Linked DNA regions of Pelodiscus sinensis. The protein of the gene in region 1 purifies or fractionates together with the protein of each later gene. This does not show direct contact. Links are inferred from orthologs where the notes say so. Each region holds a gene or a part of one and is shown in the gene's direction. Other genes may lie near its edges. The genes, in order: PHLPP1, SUGT1, WDR48 and NHERF2.

What was found.
Region 2: the proteins of PHLPP1 (region 1) and SUGT1 purify together in Homo sapiens (affinity purification with mass spectrometry; 5 studies listed by BioGRID and IntAct, with this or other methods). This does not show direct contact. The link is inferred for Pelodiscus sinensis from reciprocal best matches to the Homo sapiens genes PHLPP1 and SUGT1.
Region 3: the proteins of PHLPP1 (region 1) and WDR48 purify together in Homo sapiens (affinity purification with mass spectrometry; 5 studies listed by BioGRID and IntAct, with this or other methods). This does not show direct contact. The link is inferred for Pelodiscus sinensis from reciprocal best matches to the Homo sapiens genes PHLPP1 and WDR48.
Region 4: the proteins of PHLPP1 (region 1) and NHERF2 purify together in Homo sapiens (affinity purification with mass spectrometry; 3 studies listed by BioGRID and IntAct, with this or other methods). This does not show direct contact. The link is inferred for Pelodiscus sinensis from reciprocal best matches to the Homo sapiens genes PHLPP1 and NHERF2.

The regions. Positions count from the first base shown.
Region 1 is NC_134712.1:118,352,519-118,359,997, reverse strand, and holds the start of PHLPP1 (PH domain leucine-rich repeat-containing protein phosphatase 1), read left to right. Parts: upstream 1-4,218; 5' UTR 4,219-4,907; coding exon 4,908-6,396; intron 6,397-7,479. UniProt on the Homo sapiens protein: Protein phosphatase involved in regulation of Akt and PKC signaling.
Region 2 is NC_134711.1:283,823,322-283,831,116, reverse strand, and holds the start of SUGT1 (protein SGT1 homolog), read left to right. Parts: upstream 1-4,464; 5' UTR 4,465-4,550; coding exon 4,551-4,582; intron 4,583-4,663; coding exon 4,664-4,709; intron 4,710-7,795. UniProt on the Homo sapiens protein: May play a role in ubiquitination and subsequent proteasomal degradation of target proteins.
Region 3 is NC_134712.1:246,546,414-246,553,568, forward strand, and holds the start of WDR48 (WD repeat-containing protein 48), read left to right. Parts: upstream 1-4,022; 5' UTR 4,023-4,124; coding exon 4,125-4,172; intron 4,173-7,155. UniProt on the Homo sapiens protein: Regulator of deubiquitinating complexes, which acts as a strong activator of USP1, USP12 and USP46. Enhances the USP1-mediated deubiquitination of FANCD2; USP1 being almost inactive by itself.
Region 4 is NC_134726.1:37,832,237-37,840,250, forward strand, and holds the start of NHERF2 (Na(+)/H(+) exchange regulatory cofactor NHE-RF2), read left to right. Parts: upstream 1-4,812; 5' UTR 4,813-5,210; coding exon 5,211-5,420; intron 5,421-8,014.

The DNA.
Region 1 (7,479 bases):
TACTGGGAAATAAACCCTAAGAAGAACAGTATGGTTTGCTAAAGGTGCAAACATGAGTCTGAATGTTCAAAGTTAAATTACAGTAAAAAAAAAATATGGGGAAAACCCAATTGGTGAAATTCACTTCCTCACCTCAATTCAAAGTAATCAGACTTTATACAAGTGAAGTGTGGGGATGAAGGGTCAGAACAGTCACTTTCTCATCAAAATTCAAAAAATGTGAAAGCCCACAGGCATGATTCTTCTTTGCCCTCAGAGATCACATAGTGCTAGGGAACTTGTGTTTGTCTTTTGCAACTGAGTGAATTTTATGAGTGGTAACCTAAACAACTTTAACTTTAATCCACTAGACCCTGGTAGTTTGCTGCTGTGAGACAGATGGGTGCATGGTGCACCTCATTTTAAGTACCACAATAAAGTAAAGTCAGCCTATGAACAAGGGGAACGTATCATATTCAATCACTACTCAGTTAACAGACTTGTTTTATTTATGGATTTGAGTATTTCTGTGAGCAGAGTTATGAGCTGAATTCACAGCTAATGTGAATTAGCATTGCTTCACAGATGCTAATGGAACTATGCCATTTCACACCAGCTGAGAATCTGAACTGAGGATGTTTGGATGACGGTAGGCATGCATATGCACACTACCTAATACTGGATTGTCTAATGCTGGATGTTATGGATTCTAGTGTATACTTAATTTTGAACTTCCGGGTATTCTAATATTTGTTCTCTTTGAGAAAACTGGTGGTTCCCCCTTTAGATAAATATTTACAAGCTTAAACTGAGTCTGCAAAGGATTTTCTGGAAGATTCCTTTCCTTTTAAAAAGCCTTAATACTAAGTGACAACAGTCTCTTTGGAACTTTGTTTCCCTCTTGCTTGCATCAAGACAGGATCATCCTGCCCTGCTTCCTATGTCTTTCTCTCTTTTCCTCTGGCTCCCCAGACAAATACCCCATATACAGGCCTGCCCATGGGGGGAGAGGGGGATTAAAAGGGGCAGATGACTTGGGGCCTGGTGATTGAAAGAGGCCTGGGGCTCCTGGCTGCTGCTACTGTGGCAGTGGCAGCAGCTAGAGTCTTGGGCCTTTTAATTGGCCACTGGAGCAGTGCTCTGCTCAGCTCTGAGGATTGGAGGAGGGGCACAGGGACTGGCTGATCCTGGCACTGCCTCCCTGGCCTAAGGCCCCACCCCTTCCAGGAGCACGGAGCTGGCGCTGCCCACACCTTGCCCAGGGGCCCACAAGAGCTGTTGGTGCCCCTGCCCTTATACCCCAAGCTATCCCACCTCCCCCCCCCCCCACACACACCTGCTGCACTTCCGATTGGACAGTTTTTACTGGGGCTGTGCTGTCTTTGCAAGGCAGGGACTCAAACTTTTATCCTCACCTATCAAAAAAGTCAGAATGCTATTACCATCTGCAAAAAATTAAAAAAAATATTTAATGGTCCTGCAGCACCTCAGAGACTAACCAAAAATGTAAATAATGTCATGGGCTTTCATGGGCATAACCCACTTCTTCAGATGAATGGAGCAAGGGATCTAGATTAGGTACAGAGTTACAGACTAACACGGCTACCCCTCTGAGACCATCTGCAAAGATTATTGGGCCTAAAAACTTGGAGAAAAGAGATGATTAAGGAAATATATTCTAATTTGAATCCATAACTGTTATTTATTTTTATACTATTTTAGATCTTGTGTATAGTAAGAATAAAGCCTGATTCTCCTCTCACTTTAATTGGCTTAAATCAGATGAGGAGTAACTCTAGTTAAGAGGCATCACAATTGTGTAAAATCAGCAAAACTGACAAAAGAAAAATGTGCAAGGAAGTGGAGAATTAGCTTCATTTATGCTGCATATTGCCCCTTTCAAAGTGTAGTTTTTGGACATAAATCTGAGCCTTTAATGGCGGTGTACAGCATTCAACTGCTGTTAGTTTATGTTCTGGATGTGATTCTAGCTATCTAGCTTAGAAAGAATTCCAAAGATGCTTTTTGCTAGCAATTAGACATAAGGACATACCCAAGATTACGGCAGATTCAGAACACAGCAGTTCATTTACAGATCACTCTGTTCTAAAAGACAACAGTCTTCCGGTCAAAATAAATGTATGAGCATCCTTCAGACACATACAATAATTAAGATATATTTACATCATAAGTTCTTTAAAGAATATCTTGAGTGCTTTCTGTGAAAACAGCAGCACACTTTCCAGGATAAAGATGAGTATAATAATGTACAAATTGACATAGCCTGCCATTGTTGTGAGTGATGAACTTCATTGTTTCTTTTTACATTATGAATAAGTTTTTAAAAAATCACAAGTTTTAGAATAGGCCTCATAGTCAGTGTTGCTTTATTGATATCATCGTAGAGTTCTTAGTGGTGAAGATTTGTTTTTCTCCCTAAATGTTAGCTACTTGGTTAATTGCCAAAAGCAATTAGTTTAGTGCAGCCTGTAACATTTTTTACAAATATTTGGCAAAACATTTTACTGCAGCTTTACAAAATGTACCAAATGGGACAGATTTCAAGCAATTAGAAGCTGGTCCTGGGCATGCTACTCAGCTAAAACTCCCCCCTGACTGCAGGAGCAGTTTTGCCTAAATAAATATGGGATTGTGACCCTACAATATTAAAATGCATGGTTTCACATAGTTGTATATATTTACCAGATATTTACAATTTTAATCCATTATTTTATTTTGAATGACCTTTTTGGACAATTTTGCAGCATCATTCTTGCTATTGAGCATTTTTTAAAACAAAATATTTTCGCTTTCAGTGCTTGCAATGGTTTCCAGACCAACAACTGCTTTTGTGTGTACCAAATAGATCAGCTGTACAAGATTTGTTCACAATGTATGCCTGTTTCTCCATTCTGGTTCTGAAGAAGATGGTATCTCAGACTCTTAATAATTTGTTGGCCTCTTCACTGAAACAGTAAACAGGATTGCCATTTCAGATTTTTTAAATTTATGGAGATATGCTAAATCGAATTGTAAGATTGTTTCACATGGGTCCTGAAGAAGCTATTAGCTGGTGATTACTTTCTAAGGGTATGTCTACACTGCCACCCTAGTTAGAACTAGGGTGGCTAATGTAGGCATTCGAACTTGCACATGAAGCCCGGGATTTAAAGCCTACAGTGTAGATATAGCCCCCGTGTGTGGGTTACACCAGCATGGTGTACAGCCTCTCCCTGAGTTATGAATGAGTTACGGACCAAACACTTGGCCGTAACTCGATCCATTTGTAACTCGGACCCCATTGAGTTACACGCGACAGCGCTGTTTGTAAGCGTGGGTTGTGTTCGTAACTCAGGGACGCCTTTACGACCGCTCCATGGGCGCTTTGGTCGTAAGTGCGAACCGTCGTAACTCGACCGTTTGCAACTGGGGGAGCGGCTGTAAATGAGACAGGGTGGGGAGAGTGACAGATGGGGGATAGAATAAGTGGGCAGGGTGTGGCCTCAGGGCAGGAGCCAGGCAAGAGTGTTTGGTTTTGTGTGAGTAGAAAAGTCAGCAACCCCATTTAAAACTAATAGAAGGAGGTGCATATACAAGGGAGCTGTTCAACTAGGCAAGGTAGGAGAGTGCCAACTCCTCAGTCTGAGAAGTGGTGGGGGCTTGGCTGGAAAGGGTGGAGCTGGGGCAGCCAGTCCTCCGCATCTCCTGAAAAAGGATCCCCCTTCAGCCCCTTCCAGATTACACTGCCTGGAGCTCCAACTGCCCCAGCCTCTGTACCCTCTACAGTGGCAGGCCTGTGCACATAGATTTCATTATCAGTGCCTTGGGTCTCACAGGTTCCCCAGAACAGCCGGGTTAGAAAGCTCCAGATAAAACACAATCATGGGGTAAAAGGAAAAGTCCTCCCTAGATTTTAAAAGTAACGATGCAAGGTGAAGCGGCGGTGGTGAATGGCAAGTGACTGCTGGTGTTCCCTGGGGAGTTCTAGCTAGTCTCGTCTTTATTTGCGTTTTTAAAGTTCAGGGCAGTATCTGAGACTACGCTGATCTGCGCGCAGTGCATCTGGAGGAAGAGACGTTACAGTGATTTTGCCGACTGGAAAGGAAGGCAGCCAGGCCCATGACGCTGAGCAGGCCGTGGGCCGCTGCTCTAATCAAAAATTGTGGCGAACTTCAGGCTGGACTGAAATCCGCTGGGAGGACGCGAGGGTGACTGGGTCCGGGCGGCTGCCAGCTGCAGGGGACCCGCCCGGGCTGGGGCTGGGCCGGGCGCCGCGGGAGGGCAGGCGGGGCCCGAGCTCCGGGCACGCTGCAGTCGCGGCATCTGAGACAGGGACCCCGGCCCTGCCTTGGGGCAGTCCCAGGAGCAGGGGCGGGCGGACCGGGCGCGCGGCGGGGGACAAGAAGGCGGGAACCTCCCGTCGGAGGAAGAAAGGAGCAGAGGGCTGCTGGGATTTGTAGTCCGTGTGTGGGTGTATGGCCGATGGGAGCTGGCCGCGGACTCCATTTCCCAGAGTGCCTCGCTCGCCCCCTGCCGTCACCTTGAATTTTGTCATCGGAGCCCCGCCCCAGCGCGCCAGGGATGGCGTCAACCTGGGTCGAGTATGCATGAGCCCACCCCCTCCGCTCCTCCCTGGATGCTATTGTAAATAGAAGGTCGGGGTTACTTAATATTCATGAGGCTCCGAGGAGGGTAGGGGAGGGGGGAAGGCGGCTCCTCTCTCTGTCCCTAATGGCGCTCGCGACAGCTGTGGAGCGCGGCTGAGCCAAACGCGCGGCACGGAACGCGGCGGCACCGACCGACGGAATGCTCCCGATTGCTACATAATCCGCCTCTGGAACGCGGCGCCTTGCTCCGTTCTGTTCCCCGCCCCCCTCGCGCTAGCGGCGCTGCCCCGGGGAGGAGGCGGCATCCCCAACCCCCGGGCAATGGAGCCCGCGCAGCAGCGAGCGAGAGAAGCCCCGGTGGCGGCGCGGAGCAGCAGCGGGGAGCAACAGAGCACCTCCCCGGGCGAGAGGAGCCGGGTAACGCCGGGCACCGAGACCAGCGTGGAGCAATCGGGCGGCGCCGAGGCCGGGCATCTAGAAGGCAAAGTAGCCGGGGGGCCGGGGAGGAGGCGGGGGGCCGGAGGGGGCTTCGCTCCCCATTCTGCGCTGGTGGGCAACGGGACTCGGGCTGCTCCTAGCCGGGGCAGCAGCGCTAACTCCCTGCTGCTGCGAAGGGGGAGGCTGAAGAGGAATCTCTCTGCAGCCGCCGCCGTCGCCGCCTCCTCCTCCTCTCCGGCGGCTCCTGCCTCGCTGGGCACCCGCAGCCTGGATAGGAAAGCGCTGCTGCTGAAGCCGCCCCGGCAGTTGCAGCCACTGCAGCCCCCGGAGCGGGACTGGGTGCGGCGGGACCTGCAACGGGGCTGCGTCCATGTCTACGAGCGCCACATGTCCTACCTTCGCCCGGTGCTCTGCACACTGGAGACCACGGCGGCCGAGGTGGCGGCCCGGCTGCTGCAGCTTGGCCATAGGGGTGGCACCGGTGTGGTCCGGGTGTTGGGTAAGGCGAGCGTGCAGCCCCAGGAGGGAGCAGCAGCGTTCCCGGGGGAGACCTACTCCGGCACCGTGGCTGCAGTAGACCAGGACAGCCTGACGCCTCCCGGCCTCCCGCCTTCAAGGCAGCAGCGGCCAGAGCAAGATGAGAGGCCGAGAAGCCGCCGGGGAACCCGTCACGGGCTGGGCCGGCAATCGCCGGGGGACAACGGGGAGATAACCCGACCCAGCCGGCTGGCACTGAGCGGCAGCGCCGGGGAGAACAGCTGGACAGATCCTCGGCCGAGTCCCTCGTCCTCCGACTTCAGTCCCAGGGCGCCGCCGCCCGCCGAGCTGTACCTGGCTGGGCCGCCGCTATCCTGCCCCTCCCTCCTGGGCGAGCTGGGACTGGCCGGCTCCGACACCGAGAGCTTCAGCCTCAGCCCCAGCGCCGAGAGCGTCTCCGATCGCCTGGACCCCTACAGCAGCGGTGGCTCATCGTCCTCCGAGGAGCTGGAGGCGGATTCTGCTGCGCCAGCTGGGGAAGAGGCAGGTGTAGCGCCGGGCAGGAGCCATTATCGGCCGGGCGAATTCCCCTCCGTGCATCCCCCTTCGCGGGCAGGGCGTGCGGGGGAAGAGCCCCCCGGGGCAGGGATGGCTGCTGCAACCCCCGCCGGCTCCAAGGTGTTTCACTTGGGAGGAGAGGCTGGCGCCTCGTCTTCTCTGCCCCCGGCCTTGTACGTGCAGTTCCACGGGGAAACCAGCCGCCGCCTGGAGGCACAGGAGAAACCCCTGCAGATCCAGAACGATTACCTCTCCCAGCTGGGCTTCCGGGACCTGTGGAGAGTGCAGGAGGAGGGCATGGACTCCGAGACCGGCTGTCTTATTCGCTTCTATGCAGGTGAGCCAAGGAGTGTGTGTGAAACAGGGCTACCTGGGTGCAGGGCCAGCTCTGCCGGCTAGAAATACAGATGCTGACTTGTGTGTGTGTTTGGAGGTTAAATGTCTAAGGGGATAACAGATATCCCCAGGAGAGTTCCTTTTAAAACGGTGCACATCAACCAGTGGTGAACTATTCCTTACAATTGCACCAGTGATATGTTGGGGAGGCCTGTCTTTTTTACTTGTATTTATATAGGGCATCCAAAGTGCCCGATGCCGTACAAAAGACTCCATGTCTCTCTGGCCTAAAAATCTTAGGATCATTATCTTTCCTCCCGCTTATTTGCTTTGCCAAATTCTATGCCCAGGATTGTACGGAGGATATCCTTTTGGGAGAGAGAATGCCACTTATTAGGAAGATATGGATAATAGTAATGAGGGGGTTCGTTCTTTAGAGACATTGAGCTGAGTTTGTGATGACCTCAAGAACCGAAGGGTGACTTGCCTGCATGGGGCCAAGGTTACAGATCTCCTGAGGCATCTAGACAGACTTATGAGCAGTGCTGGTGAAATCCCCACCTAATAACCATGATTGATACTCTGTTATCATTTATGTGGCTAGATTTATGAAAACCCTCAGTCAGCTTTACCAAAAGCTCTTGTTATCCAAAACGCACAATATTTTATTGTATTCAGTGCTCCTGATGTTTTGGGTCATGAACATAGTACTGCAATGTTGAAGAGTTTTCCTCCTCTTAAGTGAGGAAAACTTAAGCATCTACATTTAAAGTTGTTAGACTTTCCAATATATTTTCTTCTGTCTTTGACAACTGTTAGGGCAAAGGTGGGGAGGGAAATTGTTTAAATATTTGGCTTTCAACTGTTTCTTAAAATGTGAGGCTGAGGGCAGGGCTGCATACAGATATGCAGTAAAGATGGATCTTTAAAATTCAACTGCTTTAGGCTTGAGACTGTATGGGTAGCACCAGTAGTTCCTATGAGTTGACAAGTGCATATTGCTGGAAGGTAAATGCTGTATTTACATTTTAAAAATGTGTTAAAAGCCTCTGCAACTGTTTGAGCAGTTCTGTCTGCATTGAAA
Region 2 (7,795 bases), on another chromosome or scaffold:
CTCACTAGCCTAGGTTGCTCATTGCTACACTGGAAGTTCCTGGGAAGAATTACTCAGTCCACTGCTAAAACTGTCCACCATGTGTCAAATGGATGTTTCTGATAGCGTTTTGAAATTCATTTGTTGACCCTTCCACTTCATATTGTACTTTTTGTTTCAGTCATCTGAAGGATTATTGAATTATCTAAAAATCTGTATTTCTGTTGAATCAGGAACATCAAGCTTTTGAGGAGCATTTTTGGTAGATTTAAACAATTTGTGTATCATTGCATTTATATCAGTTCTTTGTATTCTGTTACATTTGCAGATATGACATTGGGGCATTAGTATATTTTTGATTGCACATGTCTTTGCTTATTACCAAACTAAACAAACAAAATATTGGGCATATGAGAAAAGTTCTTAAAGTTTAAATTGCATATCTTCATATTTAAGATATAAACTTTTGGTTCTTGAGAAATACCAATGATTCATTTTTAGTTTTTTCTCCAAGATGAATGTCTAGAATTGGTCAAAAAACACATTTAAAATATTCTTGAAAATTTTGATTAGCTTTTTAAAAAAACGGAATTGTAATTGTTTTTACCTGTTCAATGAATGACCATAAAGGTTCATTTCATTTGGATTACATCATAAATGTACACAGCAATGAACATTGCACTACTGTAGTTCCTTGAATGCCTCCCTCACAACCCACCGCCCCCCCCAAACACAGTCCTAGTCCCTCCCCCGGGACTTGCTGCGTTCCCCCCCCAACAGTTCCAGCTCCTCCTCCAGGCCCATTGCCCCCAAGAACAGTCCCAGTCCCTCCCCTGAGCCTCGCCAGAAGGCCCAAGCCCCATCCCCGCCCACGTCTGACGCGTGGTATGGAGGCCGCTCCCCGCCGGGCACCGGCCGCCTCCGGTACTGAGCAAGCAGGAACTCTGAGCCAGTGCGACCTCACGTGGCATGTACCTGGGGGAGGGGGAGCGCACGAACCCGCCACAGCCAATTACAGCATGCACCACTGCGCAGTGCAGCAGCATCTGCTTGCCTGGCACCTGCCGCCTCTTGCAGCTCCCCTACCCCCTCTGCCAGCCGGTAGCAATGAGGCAGGCAGCCCGGGAAGTGGTTCAAGGCACCGCAGTCTGCATGCAAAGGGGCCATGAGCTGCATGCTGAGTAACAGTATTACATGATGAGGATGGAGAAAAAACACCTATCTATCTGCTCAAAATGGATGCTCATCTGGATGCAGTGGAGTCTGCAGTCCACCAGTGGAATGCCTATCAGGTATGCAGCATTCCTGAAACATGCATGGTAACTGGCTTTGAATGCAAGGAAGACCTATGCTATGTAAAAGATCACCATAAAGATTCCACTGAGGTCTCCAAATTGAACCACCAGGCAAAAGCAGCAGCACTCCTGGGAGAAGAACATCTGTATACCTTAACACCTTCCTTGCCTATGATGAAGAACCAGAAGCCAGACATTGAGCTATGTGCCTAGGTAGACATCAGGAAGTTGCAACAGTGGTACCCAGATGTGCAAGGCCTTCTGAAGAAGGAAGAATGCAAGGGCTATGAGACATTCAAGGATAAATGTCTGATCCTAGCCTTATAGAAGAATTTTGAAGGGGCCCTCCTGGTCTTGGTGCTTCCATTGTACCTCCATAAGGAGATGGTAATCCTTGTCCAGCAACAGGGTCACTTTAGCACAGACAAGACAGAGAATAGGACTGTCCATGTTGCCTGGTGGCCAAACTTAGAATAAAGATGTGGCTATGGACATCCACTGCTGCTTCAGTTCTGCTGAAAACAATCACAGATAGCCACAATTTAAAAGGCCCATTGTAAGCTGAAGACCTATGGTACTAGATGCAAACAGACTTTATTGGAACTCTCCCTCACACTGGCTGTGAGAATCGGTATTGTCTAGCAGTGATCAGTATATTCTCCAAATGGATTGAGGCCTATCCTACAAATTTCACAGATCCTGGTCCTCTTAAACAAGACCTTTTCCCCAGTTCTCTGTGCAGTCACTGACTCAGGTCAAGGACCATACTTAGTATATGAGATAACTAGGATTCTTTGCCAGGCTTTTGGGCTCAGGCAGAGATTCAGGGTAGCTGATCATCCTCATAGCTCATACTCCCCTTAGTCCACATGGCAGAAAGGTCAACTGTGGCAAGTCCTGGCTTCACCCCCCAGGAAAACATGACAGGCAGGACAATGACAACAGCCAATCCCTAGATGAGTACCAACCTTGGTTAACTCCAGACAAATCTGAGAAAAAACTTGGCAAATATCAGTGCCATATTGTGATGGGGTGTGGTCACAGAAGATCCCTAGGGACTGTTTCCCAGTTTGCTGATAACGCCACTGACTATTACCTTCTTGCTCTTTGGGGCTCCCCACCACTCTATCCTGCTGTGCTGGATCCTCTGGTCTCCCTCAAACAAGGCACAGAATTTGGTTACCACCCTCCTGGAAAGAATGCAGAGACTGAACCACTTTAACTCTGGGAGATTTAATTCTAGGGCACAGCACCCAAACCCCAAATAGATCAAAACTCCAAATAAATCTGTCTTTCTCTGTGTAAAGTTTTACACTAGGAAAGCTCATGAGGATAGTCAGCTTCCCTTTCAATGAGAGATGCACACTGGTCATTCCCTCCAGGTAACGATTCTTTACTCTAGGCCTGATAGTAAAATGTTTTCATCAAGTACAAACAGTAGGATTTAAGTGGTTATAAATGAAAACAGACAGCTCAAATTAAGTTACTAAATTAAAAGGAACTGCATAGCTAATTCTAATTCACTAAAAAACTTACTGCAGATTCTTACCCTAAAGAGCTGTTCTTATTTCAGGCATAATCGTCAGGTCAGAGACTCTTTTACCCTGACTTGGGTCTCCAACCTTTTGTATCTTTTTAGGGTTTTCCAGGCCAGCTGAAGATAAAGGGCTTCCAGTTCTCATTGCTTAAATAGACTTTTCCCAAAGGAGGGAACCTGTTGTTCTGGCCCCCCATGGAAAAATACCAGGATCAAAATAGAATCCCAGTACCAGGTGGTATGGTCACATCTGTTCCTAGGACCAACCACTGCTTAAACTTACAAACAAGGTTATTTATAAGTAATTAAATTGATCATCATATCATTAAGGCTTGGGGGGAACTCTCACTGGCCAATTTAAAATGATAAAGTCTCATAGTTCCTATTTCTAACTTCACATATACGAATGATCAGGGCTCCATGATCCCAGCGAAAACCACTCGCCAGCCCCGCACTGTGCATGTGCGAGACTCGCGCTGTGCATGCGTGGACCGCCTGCAAATGGGGTGACTGGCTGAAATCTACTCACCAGGGGTGAGTAGATAAGCGTAGTTGTAGAGCCCTGAGAATGATAGTTGCCCCAAAATAAGATGTACAGATCCAGCTGATCATAACATTACCAGGTTATATGAGGTATTTTGTCCAAAGCATCTCCGAGTTATGAGTACTTCTATTCAGCAGTCTGGCCTTTCTCCTGTTGCTGCCCGAGGGAAGACTCAAACCGGTTTGGTGGAATGAGTACCTGAGTCTGAATTACTGCTCCTCTGAACGACAAGAGTATGAACTGGGGTGTATGAAAAGCTACAGCCACTCATCTGGGAAAGCCGGCATGCTGCTGCCCAAGTGGTGCAGGTTAGTTAGCAAATACTTCTACAGCTGCTGCTTGCTAAACTATCAGGCAAGAGCAAGCAAGGGCTGTGCACCCGCTGACTCAGGAAGAGAAAGCTCAGGCGGCCCTGCTTCAGTGGAGGAACCCAGCCCGGGCCGGGGGCAGTCCTCCTATTGGGCTAAGCCACGGCGTCTCAAACTTCATGACCCCACAGCGCTCATCGGACAACTCTTATTACCCGACACCAAGAGGGGGCAACTGAAGCCTGAGTCTGGGCCAAGCTCTGCTGCCCTGGGTGGCAGAGAAAAAGCCAAAGTCTAAGCCCCTCTGCACCGGCAGGCTTCATCCTCCCCAGCAAGGGGCTTGGTCCCAGCAGGTCTAGGTCAGCCCTGGTGCCCCTCCCCAGTGAGGGGTGTGTGACCAGAGGCCGCTCAGGGAGAGAGGGAACAGGCTGTTGAGTTTCCACGGGTGGCGCATGGAACCAATCGCAGGGCGCCCACGGATGGAAAAGACGAGAAGGAACATTGGTCCTGGCCCGCTTTTCGAGAGCGGCGGGAAAGGCCTGGGTAGGCCCCGCGGAGGCCCGTTCCGTTGCCATGCCAGCCACGGCGGGGAGGGGCAGGAGCGGGATGTGCCGCCTCCCGCGCGGGGGAGGTGTTTTACCAACAGGGCGTTCTCCCCCGCGTGCTGGCTACCAACGTAAGGCGGCGGGCGGGTGCCGAGCGCGTCGGCTTCGTCACGTGCCCCCCCCTCCGCGGCAGTTACTGGAGGAACGGGCGTGACGTCACCCCAACCTTGAGTCCCATCAGCCCCTGCGTGAACGCGCGCCGCTGGTTCCCCCTTGGGCGGGTTTGTTGTTGCTCAGATCGCGAAGGCCGCTGGTGGAGGCGGCGGCGGCGGCGGCGGCAGGATGGCGGCGGCCTTGGACCCGGCCCGTCCGCGGTGAGTCTTTCTCCCCCGCCACGTTTCGCGGCCTTGGCCGCAGCCGCCTCTAACCGCGCTGCTGTGTTGTTCCCTCGCCAGGTTCCCGGACGAAGACATCGAGCAGGACCCGGGGGCGGCGGCGCAGGTGAGAGGCCAGGCGGGAGGGCGGGCGGGTGAGTGAGAGGGACTCGCGGGGCGGGGCAGCGTGTTCGGCCCCTCTGGGTCTGCCCGTGTCTCAGCGGGTGGAAGCGCAGGTTGGACCCGAGCCGCAGCCCCGGCCGGGCGCTCGGCCATGTGGCTCCGAGGTGCGGCGCGCTGGGCGCAGTTCAGTAGTTCCGTTCCCTGGACTTTTTCTGCTTAAATGACACTAATGCCGGTGCAGATTCAAGTTCGCGTCTCTGTTACAGCTCCCGTGAGAAACCCTCCGCCCACTTTGGGAGCTAACGCACCCAGCCCCAGAGTGCCTGCAACGTAGACATGTCATAGAGTTTGGGAAACTGAGGCAGGCAGTGCCCAAACGACTCTCCAGCAGCCTCGCCGAGTTAGTGTTGGGGCTGGAATAAGAATCTAAATTTCGTGACCTCGTTTTCCCTCTATTGCTAGACCACAGTGTTTCTTCAGAGGGTTGTTTGTTATGGGAGAGTGCCCCAAAAGCTATTTTCAGCACTAGCATTTTTATAAGGTGCCAACTATGTGTGCTAAGTGTATTATAAGCAATGATAAAACCAGATCCCAAGTCTCAGTAGACTGCAGTTTAAATGGCGTACAGATGAGGTGTGGTTGGCAGCAAAGGATGCAGCGTGACAGAGCGATGGAGTTTTATACGTTTTATGCATGACTATAATAGTTTTTAGTTACTTTTAGTCTACACCATCACCACTTATTTGAAAGGAGATATTTGCATTAGGTTATTTTGGAAGAAATGATTTTCTGACGAGAGGATAGATGCGTATTAGGCAGTAAAGGAATAGATTTCAGGTTTTGGAAGCGCACTGTTTCGAAACAGTTATGCCTAGTTACCACTGGCAATAAAAGTTTTATACATCTTCTGTATATATTTTAGTTATAAGCATATATTAGAGTGAAAGGAGCATCTGGCATCTATTATCCAAAGCTCCATGTCTGCTTACACTTTAACATGTGCATAAATTACACAGTTCCTTTGGAGTGGGATTACTCACATTACTATATAAATGTAAGATGTGCAAAGATCTAGGTCCAAATTTGTAACTAGTAATGTTGTTCATGTGTCTACACAGTAAGATGAATATTTTTACTCCAGATGCTAATCATGTATTTCCTTGGTTGTCACAAGGCTGCCTCTTTTAATTTAGATACTTGTATAGCAAAGGAGTCTATATTAACTGAATAACTACTCAAAAGCATTTGAAAGCAAATAACTGTCTCTGTCCTGAGCCTCTTAGAGAAATGGTATAATTAGTTAATTTTGTTATATTTATGCAGATAATTTTGTCACTTGTGAGGAACATATTGAGGAGAGAGCCATGTCAAAGGAGTATATTTTGAATTTAGTTTTGAAAATCTTGTCACTCTTGTAGATTTTCTGTAGTCCATGACTTTTTTTCTTTGTGTGGAAGATCTGCAGTGCTTGTAAGTCTCCTACTTCTGATCTACACTTTCAGAATTAGGGTACATCTACACTGCAACATTATTTTGAAATAACTAGTGCTATTCCAAAATAACTTAGCCCACATCTTCACAACAGGCAGTTATTTTGAAATAGTGTCAAAGTACTGTCAAGCTGGAAGCCTTCTTACTCTATCTCCTGTAACCCTCATTGTACAAGGAGTAAGGGAAGTCGGCAGAATAGTGCTCTATTTCAGAATAAGTGCTGTGTAGGTGCTCCCTATTTTGGAATAAGCTATTTCGACATAAAATATGCAATTGACATCTCAATTTGCGTACCTTATTTCAATTAAGCCCTGCAGTGTAGACACACTCTTAAGAGTCGACTGTACCTGCTATGGGAAGTAGGGATGTAAGCAGTTGTCCCCTGTCCCCTCCCGCTTGCTCCCTCTATCAGAGAGAGGCAGGGGGGGGGGGGGGGGGGGAAGCAGGATCCATTGCTGGAAGGAATTTTCTTAAAAGCTGGTTCACCTCAGCGCTGTATCTGTAGGGAGAAGGGACAGGAGTGCAGTGGGGAACTGGCAGCACTTCCACTTTTGAAAGGTTTCAAAAGCAAAGTGTGGCTGGGAGCGGGGATCAGTGGCCAGTGGGGACTGTTTGAGTCCTCAGCTCGCTCCAGGTTCTCCAAAGCACTTTTGCTTTTGACATCTCAATTCTACGTTTCAAAGGTAGAAGCACCGTTATCGAATAATCGTTGCAAGTTACGTTGATTATTCTATTAGTTGATTAATCTGAATTTAACATCCTTAAATGGGAAGTCAAGTAGATGTAGAAAGAGGCAATTTCGCAAGTTGCTAGAGGGCTTTGAGTGTCAGTACAGGCACACTGAATTGTAGTTTCTATTGACTGTCTTTTGAGTATGGGGCACGAAGGACCAGGGTGATTGGTTCAGAAATATATAGCTACAGAAACATATAGCTAAGCAATCAGACTGTTACATCTTGTAGATGCTGGAGGTTTTTCAGTGTGTGTATTCATTCCTAGGCATTTTATCCGGGAAGGGTGGGAGAATACCTCTTACAGTTATAAATGCTTTCAAGGCTGCTACTTTAGTCTCAGGATGGCATTCATGTAACCAGGTCAAATTCTTATTTATTTCTGTAATGTGTTTGGTCTGTCCTCCTTTCTCCTGGCTCTCTTTGTTGAAATATAAGAGTTCATTGCCACATGTTCTACTCTGTGTTCATGTCCTCTGAATACTGTTCCATGTTGAGGTACTATAGGTAGTTAAAAAAACAAGAACAAATTTTTTTTTTTAAATACTGGGAGTCCATAGCAGAAGTGACAAAATAACCAGCAAAGAGCTAGCGTATTTTATGCATGGTACTGGCTGGTTTAAATTCTGCCAAAGGACTCTTGATCCACTTGCTATTGATGAGATTTCTGCTTTTATAATTAAAGGAAAAACACGCGCAATTGGGTCCTCTTGTGGCCTGAAATTTCTAATACTTTGTTGTCCTCCTTCACTCTCTTGTTCCTCAATTACATGGGATAGCCAAACCTTAAATTGTAAGCTCTTTTACACAGGGATTGTCTTCTTTATGCCCAAATAAAATTGTTCTGCATATTTTGTGCTAAGTAGCT
Region 3 (7,155 bases), about 130 Mb from region 1:
CCTCACTTTCTCTCTCTCTCTAGTCTCCAGCCCCACCCTTTCTGCCCAAGGTCCCAACCCTTCTAGCAAACCAATAGCTGGCCTGTGTACCAAAATTCATGAAGTGGCTACCCTAAGAAAATTATTGCCCATCCATGGCTTAAAACATCTAGAGGCACTACCGACACGATCTTTACTGCTTGCCAGATGCAGGAAAAATGTAGAGAAAAACATAGATGCATCTTGCATTCACTGGCCTGACAAAAGCTTTTGACTCCAACAGAGAAGCACTGTGGAAAAATCCTTCTGACCTATGGATGTCCACCAAAATTTGTCACCATTCTTCATCTCTTTCACAATGACATGGAAGCAACAGATCTTTTTATGGCAAAGACAGGCATTTAACAGGGGTTGTTTCACTGCCCTGACGCTCTTCTCCACCTTCCTCACTGTGATGCTCTATTTGATAACTGGCAAGATGGTAAGCTGTTCAACCTGGACTGCTTCCAATCCAGAACCAAAACATCACCAACCTTAGTGGCTGAGCTTCAATATGCTGACAATATTATAGAGTGGGCTCATTTGGCTTTGCTGATGCATATCAGACTCTCAGCATACAGTAGAAAAAGGTCCTCTATCAGCAAGCTTCTACTGCACAACTGCCAGCACCAGAAATACATGATAACCTTCTAGAGACCATTGCGTATTCCCATTCTTGGAAGCCACTCTCACAGGCAGCTGACATTGAAAAAGAAATCCAGGATCAGCTCAAATGTGCTAGTTGAGCATCTGGTCATCTGAGAATAAGAGTGGTCGAAGGTTGCAACATCAGAATTAAAACCAGACTTATGATTTACAAAGCTGTTGTAATCCCCATCATGTTGTAAAGGGCTGAAACATGGACAACATAGGGAACATCTTAAGGCTTTAGAGAAGTATCATCACACTGTATGCAAATGATTATTCAAATTAAATGGGCTGTTAGATGTATTAACATTAATATCCTCCCACAAGCAGATATCACAAGTATCAAGGCAATAATTATCTATCATCAACTTCACTGGCAAGTCATTGTGTTTGGATTCCTGAAGAAGTTTTCTATTTTCAACTCAGCCACGGCAAACATGCTAGAGGAGGTCAGAAAAATCACTACAGAGATATCCTCAAGGCTAATGTGGGGAAATGTAATTCATGGTAACATATAGCTCAGGGCTGACAAAGATAGAGGAATTGCTTAAGGCAAGGAACTTGGCACTTTGATAACCAGATGCAACTACATATAACTGATAGAAAAACAGAAACCAACATCTAGTTCAGAAATACATGTCTGCAATATGGCAGAGTCTGTGGCTCTAGAATACATCAATTTCTACATCTTTTTTTTATATTATGTTATGAAAGATGCATATAAGTGTTAGTTATTACAGTTTGTGCTATGCATTAGGAATGTAAAAAAGAAAAACTGTCATGGCATAAGAGAAACCCTGTCTGGGAATATTTTGAAGTTATTCCTTCTCTGAACAAAAAAGAAAAAATGTGTCAAATGTCAGCAGTGCAAGGAGATGCAGGGCCCCCTTACAAGAATGAAACATCATGCGGAAAACTACTAACTGGGAGAAAATAATGTGGATGAAGAACAATGTTGATCAACTGGTTAATAATTTAAATAACTCACTTTGCAACACATCACTCTTCAATACTCCTGCTATGCCAGTGTGTGATTTAACAAGTAATTCCCAAGCTGTTTGCTATGTTGGACATTGCTACAAAAAAAGTTTAGCTTAGCTAATCTTTATGGCTTGTTTAATTAGTTAACCATGTAGTGAAAAATGTATCCCTCAAGTAGGCAGTACAGAAAAATGCAGCAAAAGAAATCTAGAGTTGTCAGTAGAAACTGAGCGCAATTTTCTTATTTTATATTACCTAACACATTCCCCATAATTTGGAACATTACGGCCACAGACCATAATGGCGATGTTGTAAGTCTATTTTCTATTTTACTTCAGCAAAACTAAGCTTTCCCAAGGGAACCCCATCTAATACTTGCTTTCTTAAAAATCAGAAATGTCAGTGAGTTCAATGGGGCATACTCCAAAATTAAGTGCACTCTAAGGCTACGTCTACACTGGCCCCTTTTCCGAAAGGGGCATGCTAATTTCACAGGTCGTAATAGGGAAATGCGCGGGGGATTTAAATATCCCCCGCGGCATTTAAATAAAAATGTCCGCCGCTTTTTTCCGGCTTTTAGAAAAGCCGGAAAAGAGCGTCTACACTGGCCCCGATCCTCCGGAAAAAAGCCCTTTTCCGGAGGATCTCTTATTCTTATACTTCGAAGTAGGAATAAGAGATCCTCCGGAAAAGGGCTTTTTTCCGGAGGATCGGGGCCAGTGTAGACGCTCTTTTCCGGCTTTTCTAAAAGCCGGAAAAAAGCGGCGGACATTTTTATTTAAATGCCGCGGGGGATATTTAAATCCCCCGCGCATTTCCCTATTACGACCTGTGAAATTAGCATGCCCCTTTCGGAAAAAGGGCCAGTGTAGACGAACCCTTAGGGTATGACAGCTGCTGCTGTCTATCCTCTAGGGTTCGAATTAGTGGATCTAGTGAAGATATGCTAATTCCAACTGAAAGAGGTGCTCTGGTCGATGCTGGTAGTTTTGCTTCCTCAAGGAGTAAGGGAAGTTGAAGGGAGAGTGCAGGAAGTAAAAGAGAGCAGTGTGGACAGAGCCAAAAGTTAAGGTACTTCAACTTCAATTACGTAATTAATGTAACTTAAGTTGAATATCTTAATCCAGCTTTACCCTGTAGTGTAGACATACCGTAAGTCAGAGGTGGGCAATAATTTTTCATGGGGCCACTCCAAGAATTTGGAAAGTGGTCAAGGGACGTATTCTTCCATGATATTAATGGAGGAGGTGCATGGTCTGGGATGGAGGTTAGGTGCAAAAGGGACCTTGGGTAAGGAAGGGAGTTTGGGTGAAGGAGACAGTTGTAACTGGGGGCACTGGACTGAGGTACAGGGGGTTGGATTGTGACCTAGGGCAGGGAATTGGGGTACATAAGTGGGTGCAGGGTTGTGAGCTAGGGCAGGAGAGGCCTGTTAAAGCCTCTACAAACTCACATGAAAATGACACCTGCTGTGGATTTTCCAGTTTCAAAAGTATTTCCCACGACCATTAGTAATCCAGCAATGCAAGCTTCTAGCGTACTTCTCTGTAGTGATTCTCTCATTCTGGTATCCCTGTGCCAGAGAGAGCTTGGAAAAACGGATACAAAAATGTCACCTTTCATATTTGAAAATTCTGCCAAACCTGCATTATGACACGATCGAACCACTCAGTGCTCCCAAACCCAGAAACAATGGTCCCGCCATCTCCTGCGGCTTTGTACACACCAGCAACAACCTTCTATTGTTTTTCACTACTTCAAGTATCGGGCCTCAAAAATCCCATTCGTATGGTTCCTTCCTGCAGGCTTGCAAATTACAGGAGAGTTTTTCATCCTGTATTTGCAAGGCTCACAGGATTCGTGTGGGCTCCCTGCTTCTGTCAGAGACAGCAGACAGGGAGAGGAGACGGTGGCCTTGAGGATCTGGGGGCAGGGAACTTGGCCAAAGGGCACTGCGAGAAGACGGTCAGGGACAGGGAGGGGAGGCAGCCTCAGGTCTGGAGGCAGGCACGTGGCCTCAGGGTAGTGAGACGGGAGGCACAAAGCAGCCACACGGCACCACCAAGGGAGGTGGGGGTGAAGGGCACAGTGAGGGGGCAGCACGGCCATGATGGGCCGAGTCCCAGGAAGGCGCAGGGCCTGAGGGCACAGAGGAAGGGGCAAGCGGGCGTGGCAGGCAGAGGGATGCAGGCACCAAGCCCACGCGGGGAAGGGCACGAGGCCTCAGGGAACGTTGAAGGGGCGAGTATCCGAGCCCTCCGTCGGGCGGGGCAGCCTAACGCTCTCCCGTCCGCGAGACTCCCCCCTGAGGAGCGCGCGGGAGTCGGGCGGTTGACGTCTGGCCCAACTCCCTGCCCCGCTTCCCGCGAGCTCCCTCCACAGCCCAGCGCCCTAGCGCGGGTCCAACGTTCGGCGGGGCGGGACTTCCGGGTCGCTTTGCCCTCTTCGGAAATGACGTTGGCGTGTCAACATGCAAGATGGCGGCGCATCACCGACAGAATGCGGCCGGGCGCCGGAAAGTGCAGGTGAGAGGTCTGCTGGGCTGCCCGCCGGCGCGGGGTTGTGGCGCGGCTGAGGGGCTCGCGGAAGAGGGGGCGCGGGCCGAGAGCGGGCGAGCACCTGGGAAGGGCGGTTGGGCTGGGGGCGGGGCGCCGCAGGTGAAGGAGCGGGACTGCGAGCGCGGGAGGCGGTGTAGGGAACTGGGGCGGGGGGAGGAGCCGGGCTAGTGTCGGTCGCGAGGGCTCACTTCTTTCCCTGGGTGTCGCCTGGGGCAGCTGCTGCTGGACCTGGGGAGGAACAGGCTACTTCTCTGGTGCTGAGAGCAGGGAGAGAGCCCAGGGGAGACCCTCCCCAGCCTCGCCCACGGCCGCTGGGAGTCTCGGCGCCTGTCAGTATTAGACATAAAATAATGAAGCAAAATGGGACTAAAACACGTCCCATGTACTTGTCAGCGGAATCTGCCCTTGCGCTCCACCTGTGCCTAAGCACTGGCCCTTGAGGCTCTGGCAGCGTGGGTGCTTCCTTAGGGACATAAGGATCTGCCTTAACTGTGTCAGACTCTTCGTATGGAATCGGCCGTAGTACTTGCTCAGCTTTAATTCCTGAACTGTTTTTAAAGTGAGAACATGCTTCAGTTATCCCATTGTGTCTACACTATTTTTCAGCCTGGTATGTTTGGGGCATACAGGATCCTGCTTGGAGGAGGAGGAGGAATTGATGTGCGCGTGAAAGAGATAAATGTTTTGATGATCTTCCTGGGGATGGATCCTTTTGATGAAATCTATGCAAAACAAACCTTTCTCAACAGTGAAAGTAAAAATGAAGCACAGTGGATATTATGTTCCTTCATTTTGCTTTGGTCTAGTGTAAACGTTCTTAATTTCATTTTAATTATAAATGTCAGTACAGACAGGGTGGTATAGGGGATTCTTGATGTAAATAGCAACCTATCATTGGTGGTCAGTTCAAATTAGAGATGTTGCAGTTTACCCGGCTAACTGTTTAACTGATAAGAGGATGCCAGTTGAGTGTGGTTAGTTTACTGTAGTGGCTACTGCTTTAGAACTGGTTGGACACCATAGGTTTACTGGGTCCTCCACTGCAGACAGACTACTCTCATCCCCTGAAAGTGGAGGTTTTTTTCAGCTCAGGGTATAATTAACATAGACAACTTAAAGCAGTGGTAACCAACTAGTTGATCATGATCAAGTGGTCAATTGCAGAGGCCCTGCCAGTTGATTTCAATGCAGTGTTCCTAGCCCCCTTATTTCCCCCAACCCACAACAAGGCACTTGTGCTGGCGCTACAGCCTCCTGCCCCTCCCAAAATTGGAGCCAAAGTTGGCTTCCTGTGGTGGAAGGGAAGGAGGAGAGAATTCCCGCAGCTCTGCACCAGATCCGGCTTCTCAGGAAGCTCAAGTACACTGCTCCTCCCCACTCCACAGCAGTGCATGTGCTTTCTTGTCTTGCCTTCCTTCCCCCGTGTACCAGGGAGGCAGAGTCAGGCATGGGGGAAGTTTAAGATGGCAGTGGAGGACCCAGAGCGGCTGGATTTTTTTAAAGGAGCCGCACGTGCACTTCTTCTAGCACTACCTACAGATCCTACCTGAGAGATGCTCATCCCTGGAGACCCCCAGGTCCAGCCAAGCTGCCCTTGACCCCTCTCCCTTGGCCAGACACCCACCAGCATCCTGCCCCAGCCTGTAGTGCCAGCACCCTGTTCCAGCTCCTCCTTCCTGGCCAGACACCTACTATCAGCTTGCTCAAGTACCCTACTTTCCACCCAGATTCTGTACCCTCATCCCTACCCCACTCACTGGCAGCTCTGTCCCACACACTGGATCCCTCATTTTTGGCCCGATCTCAGAGCCTTGGGGGACCCCACAAAATTCACTAACCCTGGACCCCCAGAAGAATTAATCTGTCCTGGGACCTTGAACCTCAGTCCTCCCCCCCCCCCCCCCCCACCGCTATTACCACCATGGGGCTGGAGTGTCAGGAGACTGAGGTATCTTAGTTGGGGCCACATCAGTGAGGGTTGTGGCTTTTTGGAGGTGTTGTTTTTTTGCATCTCACTTCTGTGGTCCCCAACTGATTTTTCTGAGGATCAGTGGCCCCCTGACCCAAAACATGTTCCCTGCCCCTCCCATAAAAAAAGATAATGTTGAAATGTTTTGTGTTGGCCATAATAGTTTATTTAAAAATGAAGCCTGGCCAGCAAGCTCCCAGTTGGGGTCAAATCCTCATCTGGCCTCAGTATCATAACACCCCTGCACCCGCCCACAGGGGAGCCGGTCATACACCTGAACCCCGTGCCCTGAGCCCCCCACATCCCCAGTCTTGTGCCACAACAGTCCTGCACCATCCACACACTGCAATTCTGAGCCTATCATACACGCAACCCTCCTGCCTTGAGCCCCTCATAAACCCCAACCCGAACTTCTGCACCCTGATATCCACAAGTCTGCAGTTTACTCAGCACCCCAACTCTTCACCTGACTCCAACAGTCTCCAGTCTGGAGCCCTGTCCCCGATCTAGCATCTTAGTCTCCACTCCTCCTGCATCCAAATTCCCTCCCAGAGCTTACACCTCTCACCCCTTCCCACACACTAATCCCTCATTCCTACCCCAGAGCCTGCACCTCCTGTCTCAACCCAGTGGGAGTGAGTAAGGACTGGGGACAGCAAGTGATGGAGAGGGTGGGGCCTCAAGGAAAGGGTAGGGTCTTGAGGAATGGATGGTGTAGATCTTGGCTTGCCCTGACATTTAAAAAGTGATCTTGTGTGTAAAAAGGTTGGAGATCACTGACTTAAAGGGTTCAGAAACCATGACTGAGGTCCAAAAAACCAAGATCAGAGATGAAAAAAGAATGCTTTCTCTCTGAATACTAGTGAGAGAAAGAGAGAATTTGCTAAACTTTTTTAATAATAAGAAACTTAAAGTTTTAAAGTGTGATTTTTTTTTTCATGATTCTAAGAGCTGAAGCTTTCAGAAAAACAACAGAAATTG
Region 4 (8,014 bases), on another chromosome or scaffold:
AGTATCAAAAGAAGGCAACAGACAGTCACTGCACTGTCAACATTTTTCAAGCAAGCTTCTGTCTTAAGAGACCATCCTTAGCTCCTCTCAGAGATATATTCCTATGCTGCCTTTTTCAGGAACCACTGAACACACTGATTTTTGCTGATCCCTGGAGTAGTCGCTTACGATGGGCTAAGCTGTATATCGTGTAGAAAGCCTGTCCAAGAGTTCTGATATTGGAAAGTGTCAGGCTTTTTATCCTGGATGTCTGATGCATTCATTATGCAATATTCTAAACCGCAGTGCAAACTGAGTTTAGCACATGGGTAAAAGTAAGTGCCTAATGAATTGCGATACATGAATTATAAATAAACCTGTTTGCTTTGAAGCAGATGTCAAATAAAACAGGTTCCAAATTCTGCTGAGCCAAATAGCATACATCTACCGTGAACTTCCCCACCTCATGCAGAACTTAAATATTTATCCATATCCGAGCCCCTAGAAATTAAAATGCAGAACTCCAGCTGGGCTCTGGCCCATTCATTGTGGTGCCGTTATATTCAATTCAGTAAAGGTAGCAATTGCAGTGGGTGGGTGTGGTTTGTTTTTTTATGGAGATGCGGAGGGTAGGTGTGTGTGTGGGGGGGGGAGGATGTAAAACGTGTTTGAAACCCAGCTTTAGGTTGAACCTCTTTGGTTCAGCAACCTCCGTGGTCCGGCATGGTTTTAGTGAGCCGGATGTCCACTTACTGTGGATGTGGCCAAGTTTCCCACAGTCCCATAAAGTTTGTTTCCTGCCACCAATCCTGGCTCTCAGTGTCCTGTGCTGGTCTTTAGTTCTAATTGAGCCCAAAATGTCTTCTAAGAGCCCAGCAAGCAGAAGGGATGTCAAAATGTGTATAAGTCATCGTGATACCACAGAAAATTCCAGCAGTTACATGCAGGGTGGCGGTCAGCTTCCCGGGAGCCGGTGTGTGTGGGGAGCTAACTTTTAAGCCAGCTCTCCAGGCATACTAGCTCCCACCTGTCCTGCCATGCTGCTGCCTCTGATACAGATGCAGTGGGCGGAGGGGGGAGGCAGCTTCCTAGGAGCCAGATGCATGTGATTACACTTTCACATCCCTAGTAAGCAGGGGAAGTGTAGGTAATGCTGCTAGACAATACTGACCTCCCATAGTCCAGCAAATTCTCTGGTTTGGCACCGGTCAGGTCCTCCGGGTGCCGGACTAGAGAGGTTCAACCTGTATTACCGCTAAGCACTTTGCAAGAGCTGCTTGCGAGGGGAGGTAATTCTTTCCATGCGGTGTTAAGATGGTCATGGATGCAGGAATGTTTTCAGGCTTTTTTCCAGCTCCTCGAGAAAGATGGGAACCTTTCCCGCCCATCACAGCGCAGGCTGTACCAAACCTGTGTTCCCAACAATCCTCGTGGGCTGTAGAATCCTCCCCTGCAGGTGAGAGTTTACCAGGGCAGAAGAAAAGGGGCAGCCAGGGAACAGGTGAGCACTTGGGCCATTCCTAAATGCAAAGGAGGAAGGAATGGTCAGCCCTAATCTAGCAAGTTATTTAGGCAGATGCTTAACTTAAGCGAATGAAGTCAGTGGAGCCATGCAGATATGGATCGAGTTAGGCACATGAACAAGTAGTTTCCTGAATTGGGGCCTGACCCAAGTCCTCAATTCACAAGAAATTCTTCCTCCCTGTGCTACCTGCACCCAGCCTGGACCAGCAGCCAACAGTAAAGCGAGATCTGCAAGAAGGTACCTCGTGTTTTGGGCAAGGTCATCCCTGATGTAGAAACAAGGAAGGGGAGCGGCCTAGAAACAGGGCAGGTTCCTGCACGTGTACTCCTAGGAGACGTCCCGACCTGGGTTAAGATTACATACTGGCAGGTGTGTTTCAAAATCTGTGGCTCTGGTATTAGCCAGGTTGTTGGATGACAACACATCATCAAGCCCGAGGGAGGCTCAGGGAAGCCCTCATGTGACACAGCAAATGGAGGAGCCCCCACATTTTGAATACCCCACACAGATGTGGTTGCCTCATCTCAAAGAAAGATATATTGGAATTGGAGAAGCTTCAGAAAAGGGCAACAAAAATGATTGGGGCGTATGGAACGGCTTCCGTCTGAGGAGAGATTAATAAGATTGGGACTTTTCAGCTTGGAAAAGAGCTATCTAAGGGGGATATGACTGAGGTCTATAAAATTGTGACTGGTGTGGAGAAAGTAACTAAGGAAGTGTATTCACTCCTTCTTGTTACACAGGAACTAGGATTCACCAAATAAAATTAATAGGCAGCAAAACAAAGAAAAGAAAGTATTTCTTCACACAAGGCACAGTCAACCGGTGGAACTCCTTGCCACAGGATGTTGTGAAGGCCAAGACTACAAGAGGGTTCAAAATAGAGCTAGATACGTTCATGGAGGTTAGGTCCGTCAATGGCTATTAGCCAGGATGGGCAGGAATGGTGTCCCAAGTCTCTTTGTCAGAAGCTGAGAATAGGCGATAGGGGAGGGATCACGTGATGATTCCCTGTTCTGTTCATTCCCTCTGGGACACCTGGCCTTGGCCACTGCTGGAAATCAGGAGCCTGGGCTGGATGGACCTTTGGACAGACCCAGGGTGGCCGTTCTTATGACTCTCTCTGGCCTCCTTCCACATCACCCGATGGCTTTGTGCAAGCAGGCAGAGACCTGTTGTTTTGCATAGCTGCTGCTAATTACAGAGCAGCCAGGTCTGATGGCAAGCTGGCATACTGCCAGAGGTCTGATGCATTTCACAGCTTAAAATTCTCCCACAAAGACCAATGACGGGCTGATCCCTGGGCTTGGGAACTGAAACCAGCTGCCCTTGTTTCCTTTCGGCTGGCAACAGGTAACCTCGCCAAAGGCAGCGGCGGGTAATAATTTTTGAAGGGGGGGGGCACTTCACAAATTTCTGAAGTGGTTGTGGGTCATCCTGGAAGGGGCGGGGCCTCAGGTGGAAGGGGCGGGGCCAGACTTCCCAGGTTCCCCTGCCCACAGACCTTGATTGGCCTGGGAAGTCATCCCCCCCCTTTCCACTCGGTGCCTAGAGAAAACTGCCAGCTGAACAGCTGGTCGTTCACACTAGGTGCTGTGGGTGGAGGGAGACTTTGCATGCTCCCTCGCCCCCAGGCCAATCAGGGCTTAGGTGCATGGGAGCATGGGAAGTCTCTCGCCTCCTGCCCCCACCCTGCCAGGGGCACACGGTGCCTAGAGGGAACTGTTTTGGCCAGCTAGTGGTTCCCTCTGGGGCTGTGTGCGTCTGGCGGGGGAAGGAGATTTCACGTACTCCCCTGTCCCCGGGTTTCCATTGGCCTGGGAGCGGCAGGGCGGCTGCCGACCGGATCAACCAGCTTGGCGGGCTGGATCTGGCCCATGGAGGCTGGCTGGATCTGGCCCGCAGAGGCTGTCTTGCCCACCCCTGACCTCAGGCCATTACGCACCTACCGCAGGGCTGAGCAGAATGCGATTCGTTGCCACATTATTTCCTTGGAAAGTTACCACAAGATCTGAAGTGAGATAAGGGATCTGCATTGGCAGCCTTGAGCCAGAATACTAATGTAATGTATTCCTAGAGAGAAACTTCCCCCCCTCTAGGCATCGCTCTACCTTTCCCCTGCTACACCCCATCAGTGTGATATCCCAGGCCTCTTCCTGGGTGGTGTGGAGAGGGCCGATAAAGAAAAGTTATTTATTAGTTCCCTAAATAGAAGAACTAGAGGACACCAAATGAAGTTAATGGGGAGCAGGTTTAAAAGTAATAAAAAGAAAGTTCTTCACACAGCATGTAGTCAACCTGTGGAACTCCTTGCCAGAGAAGGCGGTGAAGGCTAGGACTATAATAGAGTTTAAAGAGAAGCTGGATAAATTCATGGAGGTTAGGTCCATAAAAGGCTATTAGCCAGGGGATAAAATGGTGTCCTTGGCCTCTGTTTGTCAGAGGCTGGAGAGGGATGGCAGAAGACAAATCGCTGATCATTGTCTTTGGTCCACCCTCTCTGGGGCACCTGGTGCTGGCCACTGTCAGCAGACAGGCTACTGCGCTAGATGGACCTTTGGTCTGACCCAGTACGGCCGTTCTTATGTTCCTCCAAGGTGATTGGGCGGTAACTGCCCTCAAATTAATAGATGTTTAGAGGACGTCAGCGTGCTATAAGGTCAGCTGTCCTACCTCAGTGACAAGACAAATAAATGAGCCGGGGCCAAGAGATCCTCTTAGTATCTGGCCAAAAGGATTTTTTTAAGGCCTGATTCAACCACCCCCACTAACGTCCATGGGGAATCACCCTACAAACCCATTATTTTATTTTCTTATTTACCACCAGTGTGAGGACTTGTGCTCCCATTCTTTGCACTGGGAACTCACTGCGCTGTGCTTGCCCGTATGTTCGATTTCCTCCCTGGGCGTGCATTTGGGCGTCCCGCTTGGACTGGTTTAACCGGTTCTGGATGGCACATCTATGCCTGGCAAAGGGCTGCAAGGAACCATCCCCCACAAAGTGGCTTTCAAAGACGCAGTGACCAGCCGGGCCCTGGCCATATCTTGCCTCCATGTTACACGCCCTGGGGTGAGACCTTCCTAGATGTCCTACACAATGCGTGTGTGTGTGGGGGGGAAGGAAGGGGGAATAGCACCAATGCCAGCTGCATGTGCTGGGCTGTGGCTGGGTTATGTTGTTCGGGGGCGAGTGTATAATCAGGAGACACACACCCATTCCCGCAGCAGCCAGCTCTGGAAGGTTCCGGGTTGCATTCGGGGGAGGGGCAATGGCCACAGCTGGCCTCCAAGCTCTTCCCCCGGCTGCAATGTCACGGAGAGCCGCGCGGAGGAGGCGCTGCAGCCCCAGTAGCGGCGGCGGGCACGGGCCGGAGCAGGCAGGCAGGCAGCGGCGGGGCTGCAGCGAGGGGGTGCGCCGCGGCGCAGAGCGCACGGGGGGAGTTTGGCGCAGCGCAGGGCGCACAGGACGCAGGATGGCCCCGCTTGGCGGCGGCAGCAGCAGCAGCCCGGCTCCTGTCTCTACGCTGCGCTGCGCGTAAGGGGCCCGGCTCTCCAGGCGCCCCGGGAGAAGCGCAGGCAGGGGGCGCGCCCGGCAGCTGCCGCCACTTGTTGATCCAGCCGGGACCCCGCTGCCCGGCGCCTCCGGCCGCTGCGCGCCGGGCACCCAGGTTCCCCGAGGGGCGCTCGCCCCGGCAGGGCCCCAGCCATGGCCAAGGACCAGCTGAAGCCCCGGCTGTGCCACATGCTCAAGGGGGAGAGCGGCTACGGCTTCCACCTGCACGGCGAGAAGGGCAAGAGCGGCCAGTTCATCCGCAAAGTGGAGCCCGGCTCCCCGGCCGAGGCGGCGGCGCTGCGCGCTGGGGACCGGGTGGTGGAGGTGAACGGGGTCAACGTGGAGAAGGAGACGCACCACCAGGTGGGCAGGGCTGCCGGGGGGGCCGGGCGGGGGGGCCCGGGGAGGGTCGGTCAGTCTGTACTGGGGCAGGAGGGGGTGTGCTGGGGACCGTCTGTCTGTCTGTACGTGGGCGATGGGGCATAAGGCGCCGGGGGACGGTTTGTCTGTCTGTACTGGGGTGGAGGTGTGTGCGCCCGGGAATGTCTGTCTGTCCGTCCATGAGCGCTGGGGAGTAGGGTGCCAGGGGCCGGTTTGTCTGTCTGCCTGTGTTGGAGCTGGGGGGCCCGGGGGCTGTCTGTCTGCACTGGGGAGTTGCCCGGGGAATGTCTGTCTGTCTGTGGGCACTGGGGCAGCGGGCGCCCAGGAACAGTCAGCCCATGCTAGTGGAGAGGTGGCACCCTGGAACCGTCGTCCGTCTGTCTGTGCTGGGACAGAAGGTGTCCTTAGTCTGTCTATCTGTGCCCAGTTGAGCGCTGGAGAAGGGGGCTGTCTGGATGGAAGGTCAGTCTGATAAGGATGTAATAGTGCAGTCGATTAACTGATTAACCAATAAGCAAAAGCTTCTAGGTCAATGCTATCGACTACCCGCATTCTCCCCTCCACCCCCACCAGTACAGTTTTTAGCAGGCTGGCCAGCAGCCTGGCTCATGCCAGGTCCGGGACCTACCCCCGCTGCAGCTCTGCATTTAAAGTGTAGTAGGAGCCAGGTGGACAGGCAGCCCGGCTCAGTTCCAGCTCGTGCCGGGTCTGGGAGCTCAGCCCTCCCTCTGGACAGGGTGCTCCCCTCGTGGACCAGCCTCATAAACTGGCTCCCCTCACGGACAAGCCCCTGTCTGGCATGTGACGGGGGGGCTCCTTGGGAGTGGGGCTGGAGCGTGCTGGCTGCCAGCCCCATCCCCAAGGACTATAGAATAACGGAGTAACCGATAAGAATTCATGAGTTGAATTGACTGTTAAATTAACCGGCATTTAACATCCCTACAGTCTGACTCTAGAGCTAGAAGAAGTCCCGCCAGGTGACAGTCCATCCTGGGGTGGGCAGTCCGGTTGTTGGCTAGCGGGTTTCATCTGGAGGTTGAGAGCAGGGAAACCAGAGTGACATGGAAAACCTTGTCATCTGCTGTGTCCGTGTCTCCTGCCAGTGGAAAGAGGTGCCCTCGGCTTGGGTCATTCACTTGTTTCCTCTAATTCCTGGGCTTCACATGCTCCCTGCTGTGCTTGTGCCCACTTCTTTGGTTTTATATTCCGAGAGGTGAGAGTCAGGAAAGTCCTAGCAAGTCGCATCAAGCCCAGCCTGGCCAGGGCAGGATGCTCTCTACAGTGTATTTCCTATTGCTGTGTCCAGGCTGGCAAGAAGCCCTTTTTGTTCATCCATAAAACCCCACGTTCTGTAGAGCCCCCCCGCCAGCCGCTCCCCATTGGGCCACCGTGTGCTATTTTCCTTCCGGGGATCTGTCCGCGTTCAGTTTGGTCGCCAAAGCTGCGTGCACTCACAATCCGACTGAGTCGCTTCCCCTGAGCTGCTTCTCTGCTGGATTCTCCAGGCGCGTGTCCAAGTGAAACCAGCGTGATGGAAAGTGTGCGTCTCTTTTTGGGTGATGGTTCCTGAACCTCCAGGCCAGCAGGGTAATCCGCTGGGAGACAAGCAGTTTATGGGGAATAAGATCCTTGTTGGGGCAGGAACCAGCACGCTAAGCCTGCTGAGTCGCTTCTTGTGTCCGCACATGGAGTGCTTTTTCAGCTTGTTGGCTGTAGCCGAGCAGAACTATTTACGTATGCCCGAAACAGCCTTCATTTGCCCTGCTGCCAGGATTCCCGGCTCCTCTGGTGGTGTTGGTGGCGAGAGCGTACGAAAGGTGAAAGAGAGCTAGCAGGGTGATCCTCTCTGTGAATGTTTGTTTAAAAGCTTCCCTTTGGCAAGGAAGCAGCGGTAGATACTACAGGTTCCCGCACTATAAATAGGTTCCCGCACTATTCCAGGCCTTCCCCATGCAGGGATGTTGTCTTACCATGCTGCGGCACCAGATAACTTTCAACAATGACAGTGGTTGGCCTTGTCTGCATTGGCCAGGTAGGAAAGACCAAAGGATGCGATGACATTGGCAGGACGTTGCTGTTACGTAGTCAGCCATTGCGTTGTCAGGGCACACGTTCCAGCAGAAAGTAGCTTCTGAGGACAGGGCAAGAAGCAGTGGGCTTAAATTGCAGCAAGGAAGATTTAGGTTGGACACTAAAAGCTTCCTGAGTGTCAGGGTGGTGAAGCACTGGAATAAATTGCTCAGGGAGGCCGTGGAATCTCCATCACTGGAGATTTTTAAGAGCGTTAGACAGAAACCTGTCTAGATAACACTCCAGCCTTGAGTGCAGGGGACTGGACTAGATGTCCACTTGAGGTCCCTTCCATTCTTAGGATTCTAGGGGTCTGAGCATAACACACAGTCAACCTGTGGAACTCCCTGCCCAAGGATGTTGTGAAGGGCAGGACTTTAACAGGGTTCAGAAAAGAGCTAGCTAGGTCCATGGATGACTAATAGCCAGCATGGGCAGGGATAGTGTCCATAGCCTCTGTTTGTCAGAAGCTGGCAATGGGTGACAGGGGACGGATCCCTTTTCTG